Saccharomyces cerevisiae S288C: one gene and its partners. The gene in region 1 interacts genetically with each later gene. Each region holds a gene or a part of one and is shown on either strand. Other genes may lie near its edges. The genes, in order: CKB1, NBP2, OPI3 and RPN4.

Region 1 (4,565 bases):
TAATGATGACGATTGTGACACTGATTTGACTGCTGACACAGCTGACGAGCTGGAAAGCTCTGCTATCTTAAAGATGAGGGAGTCTGATGCATCTTTAAATGTTACCACCGGCAATAATACATCAAGGAAAACGACTTCCAATTCCAAAAAACGATGGTCTCTATTATCCAATCATTCTGCTGTTTCATCATCTAAATCTAAGAAAAGATGGTCTGTACTTTCTTCAAGCTTTACCAGTGAATCTCATAAGGACAGGGAATCGAGGAACGTTTTGCAACAAAAAAGAAAATCCTTGCAGAGTTATTCAAGCTTAGATACGGTAGCATCTAATAGCTCTATCTCTGCTTCTTCTTCTTTGAAAAGATCGTCCACTGGTCTTTCCCTCAGACAATTGTTTACCAAGATAGGCATAAACGATGATATATCACAACCTGGGATCGGGATTCCGCAAGGTAAGGAAAATCTGCCTCCAACTATGGGCAAAAAAAATTCATCAATTGCTTCCACTAGTTCGGAAAACAGACTTAGGACACCATTGAAGCCGCTTGTTAATCATTCTAAAAGGCCCACTTCACAACCACAACAGCAACAACCACTATATAATGCATCATTGTCCTCGAGAAGATCGTCGATTTCTTCCACTGTCTCTTCTTCCAGCTCGTCTAAATGGAGATTCTGGAAGAGAAATAAGAACCAGACACCTGCATTGTTGCAACCAGACCACCATTCTTTAAAAACCTTTCCTGCAGTAAACCGTCGTGATTCCATGACGCCCGTTGAACCAAGAAATATGGTAAAACATAAGACATCCTTTTCAGATTTCCATAAGACTATCTTCAGTTCAAATACGTATTCTGAAAGCAGCGATACAATATCTTCCATGGAAATTACTTTGAAAAACAAAGCTTCTTCCTCAAGTCTATCTTTGAACGTGTTGAAGAAAAGGAATTCGCAATCAAGTTTGAAGCACAAAAGTTCACATGCATCCTTACAAAAATTCAAAAGAAACAAAGGAAAGTCCTCCATGATAGCACCATCGACAGCAACTAATAGCAGCAATGATGACTCTTGTAGCTACAGTTCCAAAAATTCTACGTTGAGTCACCGAATATCGTTACCTGTACCGGACCAAGTTTCCCGTGATAAAATTCAGAACAAATTAAGATATTCGACCTCATTACTCTCATTAAATTCTAAATCATCTTTACCGATGAACAAAAATGATCATGATGAGACACTTCTAAGACAGATTTTACTAAATTGTGATATAAAGAGAATTTTAAACCCCGCAAAAGGAGATGTATTGCCTTTAATCAACGATGTAAACCATTTGTCATCAATACAATTAACATCAAATGTTTGGCAAATTGGTGAAGTAATCTGTAAAAAAGTTTCTCTCGGTACTATTGATGACATTACATGGGATAGAAAGTTCTTATCTTTGCAGGAACTGGAAAAACTCAAAATCATGCAACAAAAATTTGATGGCATACCGCAACTATTGAAAAGTTTTGTTGTTAAAGAGGCAAATGGGGGGTTGTATTTGTACTTACTATTCAAAGATCACGGTACCCCAATTTCGTTAATCTCACTGAAAAACTGGAAGCAGATTCTAAAGATTTTTTGGTCTTGTGCTGGTATAATTCATGGGTTGGAAAAAAATTTGAAATTTGAACATCGTAATCTTACTTTGGATAATATTTTGATAGATGGTAATGGGAATATAACAATTATTGATTTTAAATGCAGTAGATTGCAAACTCCTCAAGATGATGTTTTATATCTACGGCTAGATCATCCACTCTTTTTTCTAAATGGGAAAGACAAGAGTAAAATAAACGAATACCAGTATCAATTTGAGTTTGAAATCTATCAAAGTATGCGGATCTTGTTGAACATGGACGCGTCAGCTTTTGAGCCCATGACAAATTTGTATTGGTTATATTACCTGTCACGCGTTTTACTAAAGTTTGGTGACAGGAAGCTTGGTAAGAATGATGCAAACAGGGATAAAATGGCAAGGGTGATAAACCATTTGGAAATGAACTTGGCAGTTCATAAAAGAGGGGGGCAGTTATTCAAAAGATTGGAGACGGAGGACATTAAGAATACTGGAGATTTACTAAAACTTTATAAATAAAACAAATAGGAATGTTGACATTTATATTTCATTTTCTTTCTATTGTATACTCCAATACATAAACATATTATATATACGTACATAATGTAATAACACTAATCTAAAATAATGGCATCGTCGACAGCATCCAAGGCTTTCTCCTCTTGAGTCTCCACAGATGCAGGTGCTTCCATTTTGGGAGTCAAAAACAATTGCTTAACGATAAATTCCACGCCGTTGATGACATTCATCAATGCCCAAACCCAGATTCCCAAAGAGACACTCTGTAAAGCCATATCATCAAACTTGGAAGCACCAAATTTGCCCTCCATTATATGCCATTTCTGAGAAATAGTCCTTAGAGGATGCAAGAGAACATATAACCAGCCTTGAGACCAAACACCACTTACAAACGTAGGGAACAAGGTGCTAGTCGAGGAACTCAACTTGTAAACTGGTGTCTTGCCGTACATAATCTTAAACACAAAAAATGGCACCGTCAATGCCAATAACCTGAGTTTGTGAAGATGGGCCTGAAAGGCTTTATTTTCTGATTGTATTTCGTCCTTCAAGTTATTTATTTCTTTATCTAACGAGTCCAATTTTCTATTGTTCTTAGTCCATTTGGCATAATTATCCTGCGCGGAGATAGAGTTGTTGAATTCTTTTAATTCGTGACGTTCTTTGACCTTGGCTAAGTATTTTTTGGATAATTCATTTCCTGGTGCAAATTTAGAGATCCATTTCTCGTGGTATTTGTTTGTATACTGTAGAAACTTTGTGACCACAATAAAGAATATCGCTACCGCTGCTGCCCAATGCATTTCTCCTATTTCAATCAACTAGACGTAGTTCAAGGATTGCAAACTGTCCTGCTTTCTTTTATCTGGTCTTTTTATCCCGAGGTATTGTTGTATATACCACTACTCTGTGATTTTTTTTCACTCTTGGGAAGGAAAGAAAAAGTGAAAACATCAACTGGTAAGTGTCTAATGACAAAAACAGGAGGTAGTTGGTACGTGCAAAACACGATAGTGACGTTAATCCGAATCTGTAAATTGGTGAATTGGTATTTAGAAGCGACCATTAGCTAAAAGAGAGAGAAAACTATGTCGCAAGAGTTTGTGGAAGACTATTCACGTACAGGGTCCTCAGACGACGAGGATAGTGGAGCTTATGACGAGTGGATTCCATCGTTCTGTTCCAGATTTGGTCACGAGTACTTCTGCCAAGTCCCGACAGAGTTTATCGAGGATGATTTCAATATGACCTCGTTATCCCAAGAGGTACCCCACTACCGGAAAGCTCTGGATTTGATATTGGATTTGGAGGCTATGAGTGATGAAGAAGAGGACGAAGACGACGTGGTGGAAGAAGACGAAGTGGATCAAGAGATGCAGAGTAATGACGGTCATGATGAAGGCAAAAGGAGAAACAAGTCGCCAGTGGTGAACAAGAGTATTATCGAGCACGCAGCAGAACAGTTATACGGATTGATACATGCAAGATTTATTCTGACCAAGCCAGGCCTGCAAGCAATGGCTGAAAAATTCGACCACAAGGAATTTGGAACGTGCCCCCGTTACTATTGTAATGGCATGCAGTTGCTGCCTTGTGGGTTGAGCGATACAGTTGGGAAACACACCGTAAGGTTGTACTGTCCCAGTTGTCAGGACTTGTATCTTCCCCAATCATCTAGATTCCTGTGCTTAGAAGGTGCATTTTGGGGGACAAGCTTCCCTGGTGTGTTCTTGAAACATTTCAAAGAATTGGAAGAGTATGTGGAAAGGAAAAGTAAAGAGTCCTACGAGTTGAAAGTTTTTGGGTTCAGGATAAATGATGAGGCAGTATCTGGTCCTAGAATGAAGTGGTTGAGACAATATCCATCCACGGAGGAGGACTGGGAAGAATTTGCCAAATGCGAGTTCGAGACACCGGCGGTTTAACCCTTGATTTATTTTCCTCTTTGCCCTACCATATACATATGTACTTTACCTATTTACATTGTTTCAGTTTTTATATCACCACTATTATTATTATTACTATTACCACTTTGGAGTACTTTAGTGATTCATTTCCAATTGTTTTCCTGGAGCCCAGTCTTTGAATGCCTTGGCCAAGTTGTACCAGTACTTTAGCTCCACGGTCAACTTCACTGCGGCGGCGTAATCCTTGTCATTGTAGCATTGTCCCAACTGGGCTTCAATATCTTGAATTCTTTCCTTGTTTTGCTTTTCAAGCAGCTTCACACCAGCTTCGTCGTCCATCTGGGATAATTCATCATGGATGTCTAGAACTTTCAATAGTAACTGTGGATCACTGGTAGTTACTTCATTTGAGGTCTGTTCTTGCGTCAAATCGATATTGCGCAAGAGTTTTAGCATATATTGTGACCTTCTAAGGGGATCTTTGAGAGTATGGTAAGCTTGATTAAGAGTTGATGACT
Region 2 (3,959 bases), on another chromosome or scaffold:
CAATGAAGGAACCGACAATCTTAGATAAATTGCGTTACATTATTGCGTATGCTCTTTTCAGAGGTGGAATTATCGAGTTAGACTTCATTAAATTATTGAACTTTATAGGAGTTACTCATGAACATGAAAATTTCCAGCAATATTTAAAAATATTCAGAAATTACGATTTAATTGATTTCAAATTGATCAAAGACAAACCGAAGGATAAACCATTTCAAAAGGAATGGTTTCATGATACTTTAGTGAATGATCCAAATATCTATCACACTTCAAGGTTCGTTCCCGCTGTAGGGAATATTCTTTCAAAGGTTATAGCGAATCCATTGTTATTGAGCGAACAATACTTCCCATATTTAAAGGACAAGCCAATTGAGTTATTGAATGAAGAAGAATTCCAAGCAGGCTTAGCGAATACCTCTGCTAACTCCTCCTCATCCTTAAGGAATCCCCGTCACAAGGCAGCTTGGACCACGAAAAGCTCTAATATAAAAAAAAACATACCTAGACAAAGATTCTTCTACTATGTTATTGGTGGTATATCAATTCCCGAAATTAAAGCTGCTTATGATCAATCAAACTTGAAGAACAGAGATATCTTTATTGGCAGCGACGAGATATTAACACCAACAAAATTCTTAGATGAAGTGGAACGTTTACAAAATCCTAGAGAATTTTTCAAATTCAAGGAAGATCAGCGCCAGCAAGTAAACCCGCCTGATTTCCTTCTAAGGGAAATGAAACCGGTGGCACAACCAGTCTCTCATGTTCATTTAAAAAGCCAAGACAATAGTCCTAAGTCTGGTACTTCTAGTCCCAAAGCAGCAGGTTCTCTCAAGTCAGAACCACCCGAAAAAGAGAAGAAACGTAGCAAATTCTCGAGGTTCTTGAAAAGAAAATCTCACCATGATAAATGATCCCTTAAAGAAGACAGTGATAAAAAAAATCACTTGCTCTTGTCAAAAAAAAAAGATATAAACGTACTATTTATGTATCGTTCCTATGTACTATCTAACATGCTTATGGAGAAATTCTTGATGATATTCAGATTTTGTCATATCGTTAATGTATCCGGACGCTGATTTTTTTGTTGCATGTTCCTTAATATTTGTCTCTTTGGTTACTTTATGGCGTCCAAACGCCGTGCCCTTTCTCCACGATCGCCTAGACGAATTTCCTCCCTTTAATTGTTCATTTCCTTCAAGCTCTGCTTTATCTTCCACTTTATTTTTTTGAGTAACCAGCAGCTCTTGCAACGAGTCTTTTTGGTCTTTCTCACTGCGGGTTTCTTGGAGGTTCCCACTCCCCACAACATCCTGTTTCTCTTCGTTCATTACTGCCTCCTCTAAAGATTTATCGTTGCTCCTATCTTCTTGCGCACAGTTTGCTCTAAGATTTTCCTCCTCTTTAAATTTCCTGTATTTTAATGTTGTATGTCCTGGTAGTAATCTGGCATGCTCGATGCCTGTTGGTGTATAAGCGGCCGCTTTTGCACCGCTTCTTGCTTCTAACTGTGGTCTGTGTGATGTGGTCATGGTCTTGTAGCCCTTTCAAATGCCAGCCTCTGAGCAAGTTCTTTATGGAGCCTTTTGGAGCTTTGTCATTCCTATTTCCTTTTCGTGAAGAGATAGACTATTATTTTTAGTCACACCAACTTATTTTTCCAGTTGCGAGAAATGGAGAATTCACTTCAGAAGTAGCTTGTAATGGACAATGCAACACAGTGCACAGTAACAACACGCTCAATCACACATAATAACAGCTACCAATAAAACGTGATAGATACTAACAAATTTTAAGTATTTTTCTCAACTTTACCTTACTTTAACTTCCACTGACATATTTATTGAATCTACGATGGCAACGATGGAAACGACCACACAAAAAGATACCAATATTTTGAAATCTGGTCTCAAAAAAACTATAGGTGTTCTCAATGAGGCAGTATTACAGAACGGGAGAGAGGTGGAGGCAGTGCAGGCAGGAAATAGTGACACAATGGAAGATACAGAAACAACCACAATAGGTTATATATCAATCAAAGATTATGCGTACGCAGATTCGAATCCTCTCCATTATGGTTATTTTGATGGAGACAATGAGGAGGATGAAATGGTTTCAGATTCTTCAAATGGAGAAGACACATACAATAAAAGACAAAGTATAACACTACCAGACGACTACATAGTTAACCAACGTGCTGTTGCCCTCTACGATTTCGAACCCGAAAATGATAATGAATTGAGATTGGCTGAGGGTGACATCGTATTTATCAGTTACAAGCATGGGCAAGGTTGGCTAGTAGCAGAAAATGAGTCAGGATCAAAAACAGGGTTGGTACCGGAGGAGTTTGTCTCTTATATACAGCCGGAAGATGGTGAGAACGAGGTGGAGAATAAGGCTCGACCTTTCTATTTGACACATTTGATTACACAGAGCGTTAGTCCTAAAAACAATATTGATAACACTAACGAAGATGAATACGACGACAACGATGAATGGGAAGATATTGATGATGTTGCGGAGGTCGAAGCAGATATGAAAACAAAATTAGATATATCGGATTGAATACAAATTCCAATTGGTTATGACAGTAAAATACTCACTAAAAACAGATAAAGAGGTCACCACCCTGGCGGTATGCCTGGCCGAATCTTCTTCCATCTGTTCTATGTCATAATTTCCGTTTCTTACGGATATATACATATATATCAGTGTATGTACTTATGCATATGTTAAATTAGAAGACTATTAGTCAGAATATTCTTCCTCTATGTCCAACTCTTCCAAGTCTTCATTCTCATTCACTAAATCACCCTTCTTGATTTGTGTTAACTCACTTGGATCTAGAGGACCACCAATTTCTTGGAGTAAAGCATTAGCACCGCCCAATAATTCTTGCACAATTTCATCTTTGCTGTCAGCATTGACACCTGCTTGCAATGCAAAACTTAGCGCTAATCTTGAGTCATAGATTAACTGGGAGATTGGTTCGTGGGATAAATCCAAAGGAACTTCTTGAATGAGTTGGTTAAACTCGTATATATTTTCCGGACGCAGGCTTACTTCGGGATTGTTCAACTTGAAAATTTCTAATTTACTCATTAAATAATAAGTAAAACCCTCTAGATAATAACCCTCTATGTTATCCTCATCTATATCTCTTACTGCGGCAATAACTTTCAATGCGACTTCGTAAGCTCCCACTTCGAGGCACATCTTTGTTAAAGATAAAAGAGGTTGTAAAAGATCTACATACTCTGACTGTAAACCAGCTTTCTGAGTTGTGTCACCATTTTCATTTATACCGCTACCAATTTCTTGTTTTTTCAACTCAAAGAAATTCCAGGCTTGTGAGAATGCTTCATAAGCTTCTCCAAATTTTTGTTGCGAGATTTTGATAGAACCCAGGGTAGACCATGTTTCAGGAGATTTTCCCTCTGTGAGTTCCATCGCCTTTTGTATTAACTCCTCACACTGCTCTTCTGCATTTGGCTCCATACATAAATCCGTCATCCAAATTTCAATCACAGAAAGCAGTCCACCTACAATCTTTTCAACCTGAACGTTGGTTAACATTTCACCTCCAGTATTAGAGATGTTCATTATTCCGCGAGTTATTATCGATACACCATCCTGTCCACCCATGATTTGACCCATGGTAAAAAATTTGTCCGGTCCGCCAACTTGTCCCTCAGGATCTAATTCGCAAGCACGCGCTAAAATTGGGTAGGCTTTCTCTACCTGTCCATTATCCAGGTATGCATCGGCAAACACTTCATTCAGTATTACATTGTTTGCGTTTTCTTTTTTCAGTGAACTTTTGAACGGCTTCAATATTTTGAGCGCCTTTTTGGCATTATTTTCAGCCAGGGCTTCTTTGGCTTGCCTAATTGTGGCTTCAAGTTCACTCATATTCCTTTTTTAATCCTCAGCCTGAAGATGCTTTTAGGTATAAGTTC
Region 3 (7,940 bases), on another chromosome or scaffold:
ATAATTCGAGAAATGATTTCCCTCAAAACAGGGTGACCAGGTTTTGCTTGTATAATCCAAGTACCAAACTGAAGTCTTCTGATATACTTGGTTCTCCAGTCAGCTCTTTGAGCGTCTTCCTCAACTCCAACTATCAACCCAATGTCGGATGGCGACAACTCTTCAGGAATCCAGTTTGGAATTGGCTGAACAGGGAACGTGTCGATGTCAGCATAAACACCTCCATGAACTAACAGTATTAAGTATTTGAAAAAATCTATCTTTAGGATGATGGAGGGCAGAGCTTCGTAAGTCTCTAGGATTTCCGGTATGGAGTAGAAGTAGTGGTGTACTAGTGCGTTTATCACGTCATGGTTCAACACTTCGTGCGCAAAGCCCGGATTCTTGCTTTCCCACATGCCCTTTATATCTTGAACACGCTCGGGACCTTCATCATTGGACCAAGTTTGCCAAATAAATGCTGGGAACTTGACATGGGAATCGTAGGGGAAAGTCATAGCTATGCGTTCTCTTAGGGTGGCCTCCGGAGGTGTTTGTTTCAAGTCTTGGATTTTTTTTTCCAGGATCTTACGTTGTTTATCAAATTGCTTTGCTTGAACTTCCTGTTGGTGTCTGATCTCCTGAGCCAAACTCTCAAAATGTTGAACTAGATCAGAATCCGAACTCTGAATATTGTTGGCACTATTAATGCTTTGGGAAATCTCTTTGGGCAAGTTCTGCAGAATTTTTTGTAAATCAGTAGCATTAGAATTGTGAAATAGGTATCTAACTCCAAATGCTAATGAGATGAGGGCTATTATGGCGAATATCATCAACCTCCTGAAACTGGAGGCTCTTTTTGTTGTTTTGGCCATCGTTAACCGCTACAGTCTATATATCTATCTGCTGTCTTCCGAGTAGAGTGCCTCTTCTCTGCAAGAATACGTGCAAAATGGAAAGAGAGGAATGTTCATTATGGTCACTGTTATTTTTTCACTTTCTTCGCTGCTGGGAAATTTCGTTATACTTATCGGAAAAAACATGTAATACGCTATATAGTAGAAATAAAAAGGTAATATAAACATAAGGTTAAAATTTGAAAGATTAAGCAAACAGCGACGTGTCCACAACGTGAAACTTCCGTACCATTTCTTGCAACAATTGGTAAACAGCATGACATCTTGCAGGCAACTCTTTGTTGCTTGCTTGCGACGCCTCCTCCTTTGTCAAAGGTACATTAATGGAGATGACCACATCCGTGTCAAACTGGGTTAATCTGATCAACGCTACGCCGATGACAACGGTCTGTGCCAGATCTGGTTTTCCCCACTTATTTGCTACTTCCATAACGAGTCCGGTGAACTTGGTTCCTTGCTGAACAGTGTCTTCTTGTAAAGCTTCCCATTTGGTGGTCCCGTTCAACTCCGTCAGGTCTTCCACGTGGAACTGCCAAGCCTCCTTCAGATCGCTCTTGTCGACCGTCTCCAAGAGATCCACGATAATGCTTTCATTGGTGGCTAGTCCATCTTCGAATTCTTCTTCATCGCGACGGGAATTGACGTACACCTCCTGTGTATCGGGGACTTCTCTTAGAGTAGAAGCGTCTATAAACCCAGGTGGGACGACAGTAGTGATGGCGCCGCCGTATAATTCGACTTCCTTGTTGTTCATGCTTCCTTGATGACCAGGGTAGGTGTCAATGAGAGTGCATGTGGAAAGTTGCACCGGTTGTGAAATATGAGAAGCCTTTTCAATCTTCATATGCAAACCCACACATGCATCGTTGGTTTCTGTCCACTGCCACTGCAATGACCACTGGATAAGGGGTCTTTATAAGAGAACACATATGAAGAACATGAACGTTCTTGGACAGAGCCATAAACAGCAATTGAAGACAACAAGAATAGCGCAAGTCAAGCGATGAAGGAGTCAGTCCAAGAGATCATCCAGCAACTCATCCACAGTGTCGATTTACAGTCTTCCAAGTTCCAGCTGGCCATTGTGTGCACGATGTTCAATCCTATCTTTTGGAACATCGTTGCAAGAATGGAATACCACAAGCATTCTCTCACCAAGATGTGTGGTGGGGCCAGAAAGGGCTGTTACATGTTGGCGGCGACCATATTTTCGCTAGGTATCGTCAGAGACATGGTGTACGAGTCTGCATTGCGTGAACAGCCTACGTGTTCTCTGATCACGGGCGAGAACTGGACCAAGCTGGGTGTGGCTCTCTTTGGTTTGGGGCAAGTGCTTGTTTTGAGTTCCATGTACAAGCTGGGTATCACAGGGACGTACTTGGGTGACTATTTCGGCATCCTGATGGATGAGAGAGTCACCGGCTTCCCCTTCAACGTTTCCAACAACCCCATGTACCAGGGTTCCACTTTGTCCTTCTTGGGCATAGCCCTTTACAAAGGAAAGCCTGCGGGGCTGGTTGTTTCTGCCGTAGTTTACTTCATGTACAAGATCGCTCTTCGTTGGGAAGAACCTTTTACTGCCATGATCTACGCTAACCGTGATAAGGCCAAAAAGAATATGTAAGTGCTCTATTTCTATATATTCTATAATGTTAGAAGCCTATGCTATTACCGTTTCTATATAGCTCCATAAGCAATTTCTTCGCGAAAGTGAAAAAAAAAAATTTTAATGCGATGCTCTATTTAACAAGGAATACAATGAGAGCATCTAGCGCACACAAACAACTACAAAACGCAATAACGACACAGCAAGAATGAGTCTCAGCACAATCATATGTATTGGTATGGCCGGATCCGGTAAAACAACTTTCATGCAAAGGTTAAACTCCCACTTGCGGGCAGAGAAAACGCCACCATACGTAATCAATCTTGATCCTGCAGTATTGAGAGTCCCCTATGGTGCAAACATCGATATCAGAGACTCAATCAAATACAAGAAAGTGATGGAGAATTACCAGCTAGGTCCGAACGGTGCCATTGTCACCAGTTTGAATTTGTTCAGCACCAAGATTGATCAAGTTATTAGGTTGGTGGAACAGAAGAAGGACAAGTTCCAAAACTGCATCATCGACACTCCAGGCCAAATCGAATGTTTTGTGTGGAGTGCGTCGGGTGCCATTATCACGGAATCTTTTGCCTCCAGCTTTCCCACAGTGATTGCATATATCGTGGATACGCCTAGAAACTCATCCCCAACTACATTCATGAGTAACATGCTGTACGCCTGCTCCATTCTGTATAAGACCAAACTTCCCATGATTGTCGTTTTCAACAAGACCGACGTGTGCAAGGCAGATTTTGCTAAGGAATGGATGACGGATTTTGAGAGTTTCCAAGCAGCAATCAAGGAAGATCAAGACTTGAATGGTGACAATGGGCTGGGCTCCGGGTACATGAGCTCATTGGTCAATTCTATGTCACTGATGCTTGAAGAATTCTATTCCCAGCTAGACGTCGTGGGCGTTTCCAGTTTTACCGGAGACGGATTCGACGAATTTATGCAATGCGTAGACAAGAAAGTTGATGAATACGACCAATACTATAAGCAAGAACGTGAAAAAGCATTGAACCTAAAAAAGAAAAAGGAAGAGATGAGAAAGCAAAAATCATTGAATGGCCTGATGAAGGATCTAGGGTTAAACGAGAAGAGCAGCGCTGCAGCCAGCGACAACGACAGCATAGATGCCATTAGCGACCTCGAAGAGGATGCCAATGATGGTCTTGTGGATAGGGATGAGGACGAAGGCGTTGAGAGAGAATACACGTTCCCAGGCGAAGAAAGAACAAAAGGTGAGGTCAACGAGAACTCTGCTCCAGACCTACAAAGGAGATATCAGGAAGCTATGCAACAAGTAGGGAAAACGGCCAGTAGCGAGACTGCAGAAAATATCGCGAAGTATATTAGAAACTAAATAACTACGTATAGTCCTTTGGTTCGGCGATCATTCGACCCGCAGAGAAAAAAAAAGACAATGGAATTGCAAAGACGAACGTCAGATAAACTCCCACGTTTATTATCTTTTGAACAATAGAGGTAATCCTTCCACAGAAATCCCTGTAGAATGCAGTGAGAAACAAGAAAAAAAAAAAATTTTTTTTTTTTCTCTATCCTGCGTGGGAGGAAAGAAAATTTTTCTCGATGAGCTGAAAAGTTTTTATCATATAAATTACATAAGGCAAATCCAGTGAATACACGTGTATATTTGACGGTAGCTCTAGGTTTAGGTTAGGATAAACTGTAGTCCTTCTAACATACCACGCAAGAAAGAAAAAAAAAAACATGTCTACTAACTTTGAAAAACATTTCCAAGAAAACGTCGATGAATGCACTCTAGAGCAACTAAGGGACATCTTAGTCAACAAGTCCGGCAAAACAGTTTTGGCCAACAGATTTAGAGCTCTGTTCAACTTAAAGACTGTTGCTGAAGAATTTGCCACTAAGCCAGAGGAAGCCAAAAAGGCCATCGAATACATTGCCGAATCCTTCGTCAATGACAAGTCTGAGTTGTTGAAGCACGAAGTGGCCTACGTGTTGGGTCAAACCAAGAACTTGGACGCTGCTCCAACTTTAAGACACGTTATGTTAGATCAAAATCAAGAACCAATGGTGAGACACGAAGCCGCTGAGGCTTTGGGTGCCCTAGGTGACAAGGATTCGTTGGATGACCTAAATAAGGCTGCTAAGGAGGATCCACACGTTGCTGTGAGAGAAACCTGTGAACTGGCCATTAACAGAATCAACTGGACCCATGGAGGTGCCAAGGATAAGGAAAACTTGCAACAATCCCTATACTCGAGTATTGACCCAGCCCCACCTCTACCATTAGAAAAGGATGCTACCATCCCAGAACTACAGGCCTTATTGAATGATCCTAAGCAACCTTTGTTCCAAAGATACAGAGCCATGTTCAGACTGAGAGATATCGGTACTGATGAAGCAATCCTGGCCTTGGCCACTGGTTTCAGTGCAGAATCCTCCCTTTTCAAGCATGAAATCGCCTACGTCTTCGGTCAAATAGGTAGTCCGGCTGCTGTCCCAAGTTTGATTGAAGTTTTGGGCAGAAAGGAAGAAGCTCCAATGGTTAGGCATGAAGCTGCTGAAGCCTTGGGTGCCATTGCTTCTCCAGAAGTTGTCGACGTCTTGAAATCTTACCTCAACGATGAAGTCGATGTCGTCAGAGAATCTTGTATCGTTGCGCTAGATATGTATGATTACGAAAACAGCAACGAACTAGAATATGCTCCAACTGCTAATTAGAAGAATCAGCATCATCAATAATGATAGTAACAATAATCATTGTATAATCTTGTATTTTATACTTTTCAAAACCCGCCATTTCCGTTATATATACAAATGTATCAAATAGCAAAAAAATTATTTATTTTCGAAACCGTTCTCTCGAGCTTCAGCTTTCAACACTGGTCTTCAAAGCATAGGAAACACTCACATAGAGATATCTAAAAACGAACGATAGCAGAATGAGCAACAACGAAATTGTATTTGTCACTGGCAATGCCAACAAGTTAAAGGAAGTGCAGTCGATTTTGACTCAAGAGGTCGACAACAACAACAAAACCATCCACTTAATCAATGAGGCCTTAGACCTGGAAGAATTGCAGGACACGGATCTGAATGCCATTGCGTTAGCTAAGGGAAAGCAAGCTGTTGCGGCCTTGGGTAAGGGTAAGCCAGTGTTTGTGGAAGACACTGCGTTGAGATTTGACGAATTTAACGGTCTACCAGGTGCTTATATAAAATGGTTTTTAAAGAGCATGGGATTGGAAAAAATTGTGAAAATGTTGGAACCCTTTGAAAATAAAAACGCTGAAGCAGTTACCACCATTTGTTTTGCTGATTCTCGGGGTGAATATCACTTCTTTCAAGGTATTACAAGAGGCAAGATCGTTCCAAGCCGGGGACCCACTACATTCGGCTGGGATTCAATTTTTGAACCTTTTGATAGTCATGGACTGACTTACGCAGAGATGAGCAAAGACGCAAAGAATGCTATTTCTCATCGTGGTAAAGCCTTCGCTCAGTTTAAAGAGTACTTGTATCAAAATGACTTTTAGGTGATGTGCTGAGAAGATAAGAGGAATTATGGATAGATTTTTTTTTTTTTATTCTTACTTTATGTCGCCTCTATATTCAATTATATAAAGATGCCTGTATATTAGAGTTGGGATATTTTAACCAATAAGTTTAATAATTGGATGTGCTCGTTCGTTCCGTTGTTTAATCTGGAATCCGTAGTAAACAGCAACCAAGATATTTGATTTTTGAAGTTCGTATCAAAGTTATCGTTGGTGATGTAATATTCATGTAGTTGGTTAACTACTGACGCAGCAGACCAACCGCTTTTCATAAACGTATTGACGTATTTCTTAATCTCATCAAAATCACCACTTTTGACTTTTTCAACAATTTCTATTAGAATGTCATGAGGTACCACACCAGCTAATTCTTCCACTTGGGTAGAAGTTATGTTTTTACCATCACCCAAGTATTGCGCCCCCTTGGAAGCGGATTGTAATAATGTAATGCCTCTTCTCAAGTCACCTGCCGAAATGTCCAAGATCCTTTCCAAAACTCCATCATCACATTTAACATTTTCTTGTTCGCTGATAAACCTCAAACGGTCAATGGCATTACTTGCGTCTAGGGCTTTGAATCTAAATTTGGAACAACGGGACGCTAGCGGGTCAATAATTCTTGTCACATAATTACAAATCAAACAGAATCTTGTTACTCCTGAATAGGTTTCCATTGTTCTACGTAATGCACTCTGTGCATCGGCAGTCATTGAATCGGCCTCATCGAGAATAATGATCTTATACGGTGGGCACGGATAGTTCTCCAAGTCATGTTTGCTAGGCTTGGATACAGTCAATCTTGCAAAATTTTTTACCTTTTCTCTTACAATAGAGATACCACGTTCGTCAGAAGCGTTCAACTCCAATATTCTTGATTTCATCAAGTCGGGTCCATATAATTCTTTTGTTAGCGCTAAAATGGTAGACGTTTTACCAGTTCCTGGGGGACCATAAAACAACATATGTGGTAGATTAGCTGACTTTAAGGTTTTCTTCAAAACAGTAACGGCATGATCTTGAGCTGTCACTTCATCTAGGTTTTTGGGCCTGTATTTCTCAACCCAGGGTTGTTGTGCCAATGATTGCTCTGCGGCTAACTTTGATATCTTACGCTTTTTATTTGGACCAAACCCTTCAAACATCTCAAGTGATTGCCAATACTTTCCCCCAGTATTTCTCGCTGTCTCTCTATTTTACTTCTCTTATAGCATTGACTTGTTCGCTTGAGTTACTTCCTGATTGCTTTGAAATACGCGAAGTAAAAGAGTGAAAAATAACGATGAGAAAGGTTTTTGATAGAAGAGAACAAAAAAGGAACAGTGTTACAATAGTATATAGAGATGTCGAATACTTGGGACGATGTATGGGCATCAGACAGTGATGTCGAAACTGAACGATCTCCAGATTTAGTGAAGTTAAGAGAGAATCATAGCAAGAGGGGGTACTTGGACGGAATAGTGAGTTCTAAAGAAGAAAAGCTGCAAGAGGGTTTCAATGATGGTTTCCCAACGGGCGCTAAATTAGGGAAACAAGTTGGCATAATTATGGGGATTTTACTTGGCCTACGAACACGTTTTGGTGATGAAGATGAGGACCTCAGTAAGGCATATATTGATGCTCAAAAAGAATTACGCATTAACAAAGTACTTAGTAAGTCCATATTTGATCCAAACTTTGACTTGCAAGAAAAACATCCGCTCATAACAAAATGGACTGATATTGCCAATACCTATTGTGAAAAGTACCATGTGCCATCTATCCAATAAAGTTGTTTTAAATGGAGTTGATTTCACAATTTATGTACCTTATATCATCCTTCATTTCACATAATGACGAGATATTACAAAAATAATGATAATAATAATAATAATACACAATACTTGCACACGT
Region 4 (4,918 bases), on another chromosome or scaffold:
CATGTTGTTATCACCCCACGACGAAGATAATACGGAGCTCACCGTTTTCTTTTTTTTTCCCTTTGGCTGAAATTTCCCACCAGAACAAACGTGACAAAATTATCTTTGAATCCAAAGTAGCTTATATATATACGTAGAAGTGTTTCGAGACACACATCCAAATACGAGGTTGTTCAATTTAAACCCAAGAATACATAAAAAAAATATAGATATATTAACTTAGTAAACAATGACTGCAAGCACACCATCCAATGTCATGACATTGTTCTTGTTAAGGCATGGACAAAGTGAATTGAATCACGAGAATATATTCTGTGGTTGGATTGACGCTAAGCTAACCGAAAAAGGTAAAGAACAAGCTCGTCATTCTGCCGAGCTAATCGAACAATATTGTAAAGCTAATAATTTGAGATTACCCCAGATTGGTTACACCTCACGTTTAATTAGGACCCAACAGACCATAGAAACGATGTGTGAAGAATTTAAGTTAAAGCCACAACTGCAGGTTGTTTACGACTTTAATAAAATCAAACTTGGAGACGAATTTGGCAGTGATGACAAGGATAATATGAAAATCCCGATTCTTCAAACTTGGAGGCTAAATGAACGTCATTACGGTTCCTGGCAGGGCCAGAGGAAACCGAATGTTTTAAAAGAATATGGTAAGGATAAATATATGTTCATTAGGAGAGATTACGAGGGTAAGCCACCACCTGTAGATCTTGACCGTGAGATGATTCAACAAGAAAATGAGAAGGGCTCTTCTACTGGGTACGAATTCAAGGAGCCAAACAGACAAATAAAATATGAATTGGAATGCAGCAATCATGACATTGTATTACCGGATTCCGAATCTCTTCGTGAAGTGGTTTATAGATTGAATCCTTTTCTACAAAATGTCATATTAAAATTAGCCAATCAATATGATGAATCTTCATGCCTGATTGTGGGCCATGGAAGTTCAGTGAGATCGCTACTGAAAATTCTGGAGGGTATATCAGATGATGACATCAAGAATGTTGATATTCCAAATGGTATCCCCTTAGTCGTTGAATTAGATAAGAATAATGGTCTTAAGTTTATCAGAAAATTCTACCTAGATCCTGAATCTGCTAAGATCAATGCTGAGAAAGTCCGTAATGAGGGTTTCATAAAAAATCCTTAAGGGGGGTAAGTATATAATATAATTGTGTATTTTCCGAAGTATAATGAAAACCAATAGAAAACTTATTATAAGTCCAATGAGGTACTTTAAAAATGTGATATTTATAAGAACATTCCTGAATGCAGATATATGATATATATTGTAAATATATATAGATGTGTATATGTATTTCCATTTTGTGTGAGGTTTTCTTCTTTTATCTCCTATATAATTTGTAACCTTAATTAACCCATGACATAACCAATATTAGCCTTTGCAAATTTTGTAACTTCTTGACGTTGTTCTAACGACAAATCTTCATGCTTCGATTTTATATGCCTTGTTAAAGCATCCAGTCTCGAAAACGTCTTCTGATAGCCCTCAGATCCAAGAATTTTTATACACTCCGAGCAACGGAAGACAATCTTCCTTTTAGCGTGAATGGTATTTTGGTGTCTCGTTAAATCATAGGACCTTGAAAATTGGGCACCACACGGTTCATTTGTAATGAGATTCATTATCTGACACGTAAATATTTCGTTATTACCGTCAGAAGATGACGTATGGGCCGATGGTGATGCAGTCGAAGGTTTCGAATTCGAATTTGTAGATGAATGTGAAGATAAGTGCTTCTTAGTATAATTAATTAGCTTCCGCCTACTAGCATTTGAGCTTACTACAGCTGATGTAGGCTTCTTTATTCTTTCTAATGTGCCGTTTTCATTACTGTTACTAACGCAACTACGGTTACTGGATGATTTTGCTGGTTTCCTTTTACCGGTAGTAGCAGTAGACGGTACGTTTGCCGAGGTTGAGGGAGATGGAAATCTTTCAAAATCAATAGTGTTTTTATTGAGGACAAAACTTTGCTTTCTTCTGTTCTTCAAGAGAGAGATATCGTAGATATCGTCTTCATCAAGATCATTATCCTCATCCTCATCCTCTATCTTCTCATGTCCCCGTTCATCTAACAGATCTTCAGATACAACACTGGAAATGCTGTCCATGTTAGAGTCAACGTAACTGTACTCATTAAATAAATGACTAGAACTCTTGGCACGACCCGTTTTTTGATCTGAGCCAAACATTGAGATTGGTGTAACATCCAATGACAGTAAAGGCTCCTCTTGGTGTTGCTCTTGTTGCAAACAATTTTCTTCTATTTCATCCTCTTCATCATCACTGATATCGTCGTCATCAGAGTCAAATTCATTGTTAAAAATAGCTCTCGCATCCTCATTGTTTATTGCGGCGCTATTATCTTGAAGTGACCACTGCATTTTCGGATTATAATTATCCTCATAGAAAAGCACTTCTTCATCATTACCATATAGATTGTCACCGTTATCGAAAAAATCGTTGGAAATTTTAACATCATAATTGAACGTATTCCGTGTCGGTACATACGGGTCTGATACTTTCATTATATTCTTTAGATTGACGGTCTTCTGCAATGGGGTTTCGCTAGCACCCTTAATCTCGTTTGGTATGAGATGGACATTATTAATCTGTCTATCGTTGGCCGTTGCTTCACTAGTCGTAAAAGAGGTGGTGGTAGTTAAAGTAGGATCCGCGTATTTGTTGAATATCGGGAAATGGTAGGTTTGTTGTGGGGGTATCGAAGCTGCACTCGATTCATTCTGGTGTTGTAATGAATGATTCCACGTAAAAGTGTTGTTTTCCTTGTTCTTATTCACCAACTTATATGGAGTAATACTAGCATTTGGATGATAGTTTTGATAATGACTCGTAAACTGACTGTGACCTGGATTAGTATGGTACAACTCGTCTTCTAAAATATCCGTTAAGGTTCTTTTTAGGCTAAGTTCCGTAGAAGCCATGATTGCTTGAAAATTCTAGAAAACTTTTGAAAAGATACAAATTAGCTATTAGTACTATCTACTATTAGTTCAACTAAAAAGCGGAGTTCTTCCTTGAGGAGAAAAGGATGAACAAAATGGAACTGATCTACTCCTTAAATATTCCACGCCAAGAAGAAAAAAGAGTTTCGGGTTTATCTTTAATTTATATTAGAGATAAAACGTATCCTCCTCCTTGAACGATAAAAAATTATCCGTGTGGGTTAGGCTGCTCATCCCGGGCTTTCCCCAAATTGGGCTTCGAACTATTCTTTCCTTATATAGAATTGCTCTCCTCAACAAGTTTCGCCGAAACGGAACTTTCTAGAACCATCACTGTAAACGGCTATTAGTAATAGCGATCACGTGATTATCCGTGGAAAGGTTCGTACGGGCTGAGGCACCTTTCTTTGAGTTCCACGGAACTTGTTATTACAGGAACAGAAAGGTAGTAAAAAAAGAAGTAACGTCCTCTCAGTGCATATAGTTTGATCTCTATAACAATCCGTAGTTGGTTTTCTCAACAATTAATATTGAATACGTTAGTGATGATTGGTTTTCAACCTCTGCCGCTAATTTAGGCACAGTTCTATCGCAGCCGTAATGGAGGCATTATATAGCACTTTAGCGTCGTAACGAAGGGTTATGGTAACCGCCTAACGATTTTATTTACTCGCTTGTTGCTTGCTTTGTAATTGGTTATATGGATTTCAAAATAATATGGTCATCTGACCATGGTGACATAACCAAAGTGTTCGAAAAGATAACTAAATTGATACATCTAGGAAAACTGAAGGAAATCCCTATTGTTAAGTAAACATACTATATATGCCAAAAGAAACAAATGTGCGGTAGAATAAAATACAATTCAGTACAATAAAATACATTCAAAATACATACAAGTACCAGGAAAAAAGCTCGCATAAAAAAGGCGTGTTAAAAAATGTCACCACAATCTTTCAAATCATGATCTCTTCTTTTAACCCAATATTTGCCCGTATATCTCCAATATTTAGCTTTTGTGATGGGATGAGTATCCCTGACGAACCATTGTGGGTGATATTCAAGGTTATTTTCCTCCCTTTTTCTGCGTGCTGCTCTTTGCTTTTCTTCAACTCTGAATTTCTCATCACCAGCTTCGTCATAACGCCCATCTTCCATTGCTCTTTGATCTGGTCTCAAACGTGTATCTGTGGGGGGTAACCATGGCAATAGATGTGGTTGTGGAGCATTCAGCGTGATAGCAAAAGGTGTTAAATTGAATGGCTCCTCAGGACGGTCGTTTGCCTTCCATATTAAAAACTTCGTTCCGTCATCCGTAGGCCCATTCCCTGCTGATGCAGCGGTTCTAGTTTTCTCCAACGAGAGATCGCCATCTTTTACTACTTTCTTGGCAAAAATAGCTTCATTCCAGTGTCCTCCTAGGATCCACACCTTCTGTTTTTTCTTGTTGTAGACTTCGCCTGTGATTTCATATGCTCCTGATGACCTCCATCCCCTTGCTTTGAAATACAACTTGCAATGATCACCGGTTGTGTGATTGACAACGTTCACTTCACCGTGGTTATCAACTTGTGGATTACCAATGAGAATACCTATAACAGTATTGTTGGGCTTCTTCCAAGTATACAGTTCCTCTTTTTCATTGTCATTTGGACGCAACTTAATGTGCCATAATCCTAAGTGCTTAACATTGAAAGATCTGCCATTGAATTTAGTATCAACAAATGATTCACCCCAAAAGTCCCATCTTGGTGATTCAGTCCATGTTGCAGATATAGGAGGGTGATGTGAAACCTGCTCGGTGAAAAATCTGTACTGTTTATCTGGTCGAGAATACTCAAATGTTTCACCCAACAATGGGTTGAAGGGTTTCGCAACTCTTTTTGTAGTAGATGCGTATGAAGATGCGGTA

Evidence for each region.
Region 2: mutations in CKB1 (region 1) and NBP2 together harm fitness more than expected from each alone (negative genetic interaction), as found in Saccharomyces cerevisiae (5 studies listed by BioGRID).
Region 3: mutations in CKB1 (region 1) and OPI3 together harm fitness more than expected from each alone (negative genetic interaction), as found in Saccharomyces cerevisiae (5 studies listed by BioGRID).
Region 4: mutations in CKB1 (region 1) and RPN4 together harm fitness more than expected from each alone (negative genetic interaction), as found in Saccharomyces cerevisiae (5 studies listed by BioGRID, with this or other methods).

The regions. Positions count from the first base shown.
Region 1 is NC_001139.9:454,928-459,492, forward strand, and holds CKB1 (casein kinase 2 regulatory subunit CKB1), read left to right. Parts: upstream 1-3,228; coding exon 3,229-4,065; downstream 4,066-4,565. Other genes in the region: protein kinase ALK1, read left to right, coding at 1-2,140; GET complex subunit GET1, read right to left, coding at 2,236-2,943; J-type chaperone JAC1, read right to left, coding at 4,183-4,565. UniProt on the Saccharomyces cerevisiae protein: Regulatory subunit of casein kinase II/CK2.
Region 2 is NC_001136.10:778,996-782,954, reverse strand, and holds NBP2 (adaptor protein NBP2), read left to right. Parts: upstream 1-1,854; coding exon 1,855-2,565; downstream 2,566-3,959. Other genes in the region: SEC1 (Sec1p), read left to right, coding at 1-914; U2-type spliceosomal complex subunit CWC15, read right to left, coding at 1,005-1,532; ACL4 (Acl4p), read right to left, coding at 2,749-3,912. UniProt on the Saccharomyces cerevisiae protein: Negatively regulates the high-osmolarity glycerol (HOG) pathway through its negative regulation of the HOG1 kinase activity. Mediates the binding between the PTC1 phosphatase and the PBS2 MAP/ERK kinase (MEK).
Region 3 is NC_001142.9:566,895-574,834, reverse strand, and holds OPI3 (bifunctional phosphatidyl-N-methylethanolamine N-methyltransferase/phosphatidyl-N-dimethylethanolamine N-methyltransferase), read left to right. Parts: upstream 1-1,899; coding exon 1,900-2,520; downstream 2,521-7,940. Other genes in the region: HOC1 (alpha-1,6-mannosyltransferase), read right to left, coding at 1-854; Ran GTPase-binding protein MOG1, read right to left, coding at 1,084-1,740; GTPase NPA3, read left to right, coding at 2,711-3,868; LIA1 (deoxyhypusine monooxygenase), read left to right, coding at 4,237-5,214; nucleoside triphosphate pyrophosphohydrolase HAM1, read left to right, coding at 5,436-6,029; RFC2 (replication factor C subunit 2), read right to left, coding at 6,131-7,192; YAE1 (Yae1p), read left to right, coding at 7,391-7,816. UniProt on the Saccharomyces cerevisiae protein: Catalyzes the second two steps of the methylation pathway of phosphatidylcholine biosynthesis, the SAM-dependent methylation of phosphatidylmonomethylethanolamine (PMME) to phosphatidyldimethylethanolamine (PDME) and of PDME to phosphatidylcholine (PC).
Region 4 is NC_001136.10:413,724-418,641, forward strand, and holds RPN4 (stress-regulated transcription factor RPN4), read right to left. Parts: upstream 2,986-4,918; coding exon 1,390-2,985; downstream 1-1,389. Other genes in the region: phosphoglycerate mutase family protein GPM2, read left to right, coding at 230-1,165; oxysterol-binding protein related protein OSH2, read right to left, coding at 3,940-4,918. UniProt on the Saccharomyces cerevisiae protein: Acts as a transcriptional activator of a number of genes encoding proteasomal subunits. Binds to a PACE (proteasome-associated control element) DNA sequence 5'-GGTGGCAAA-3'.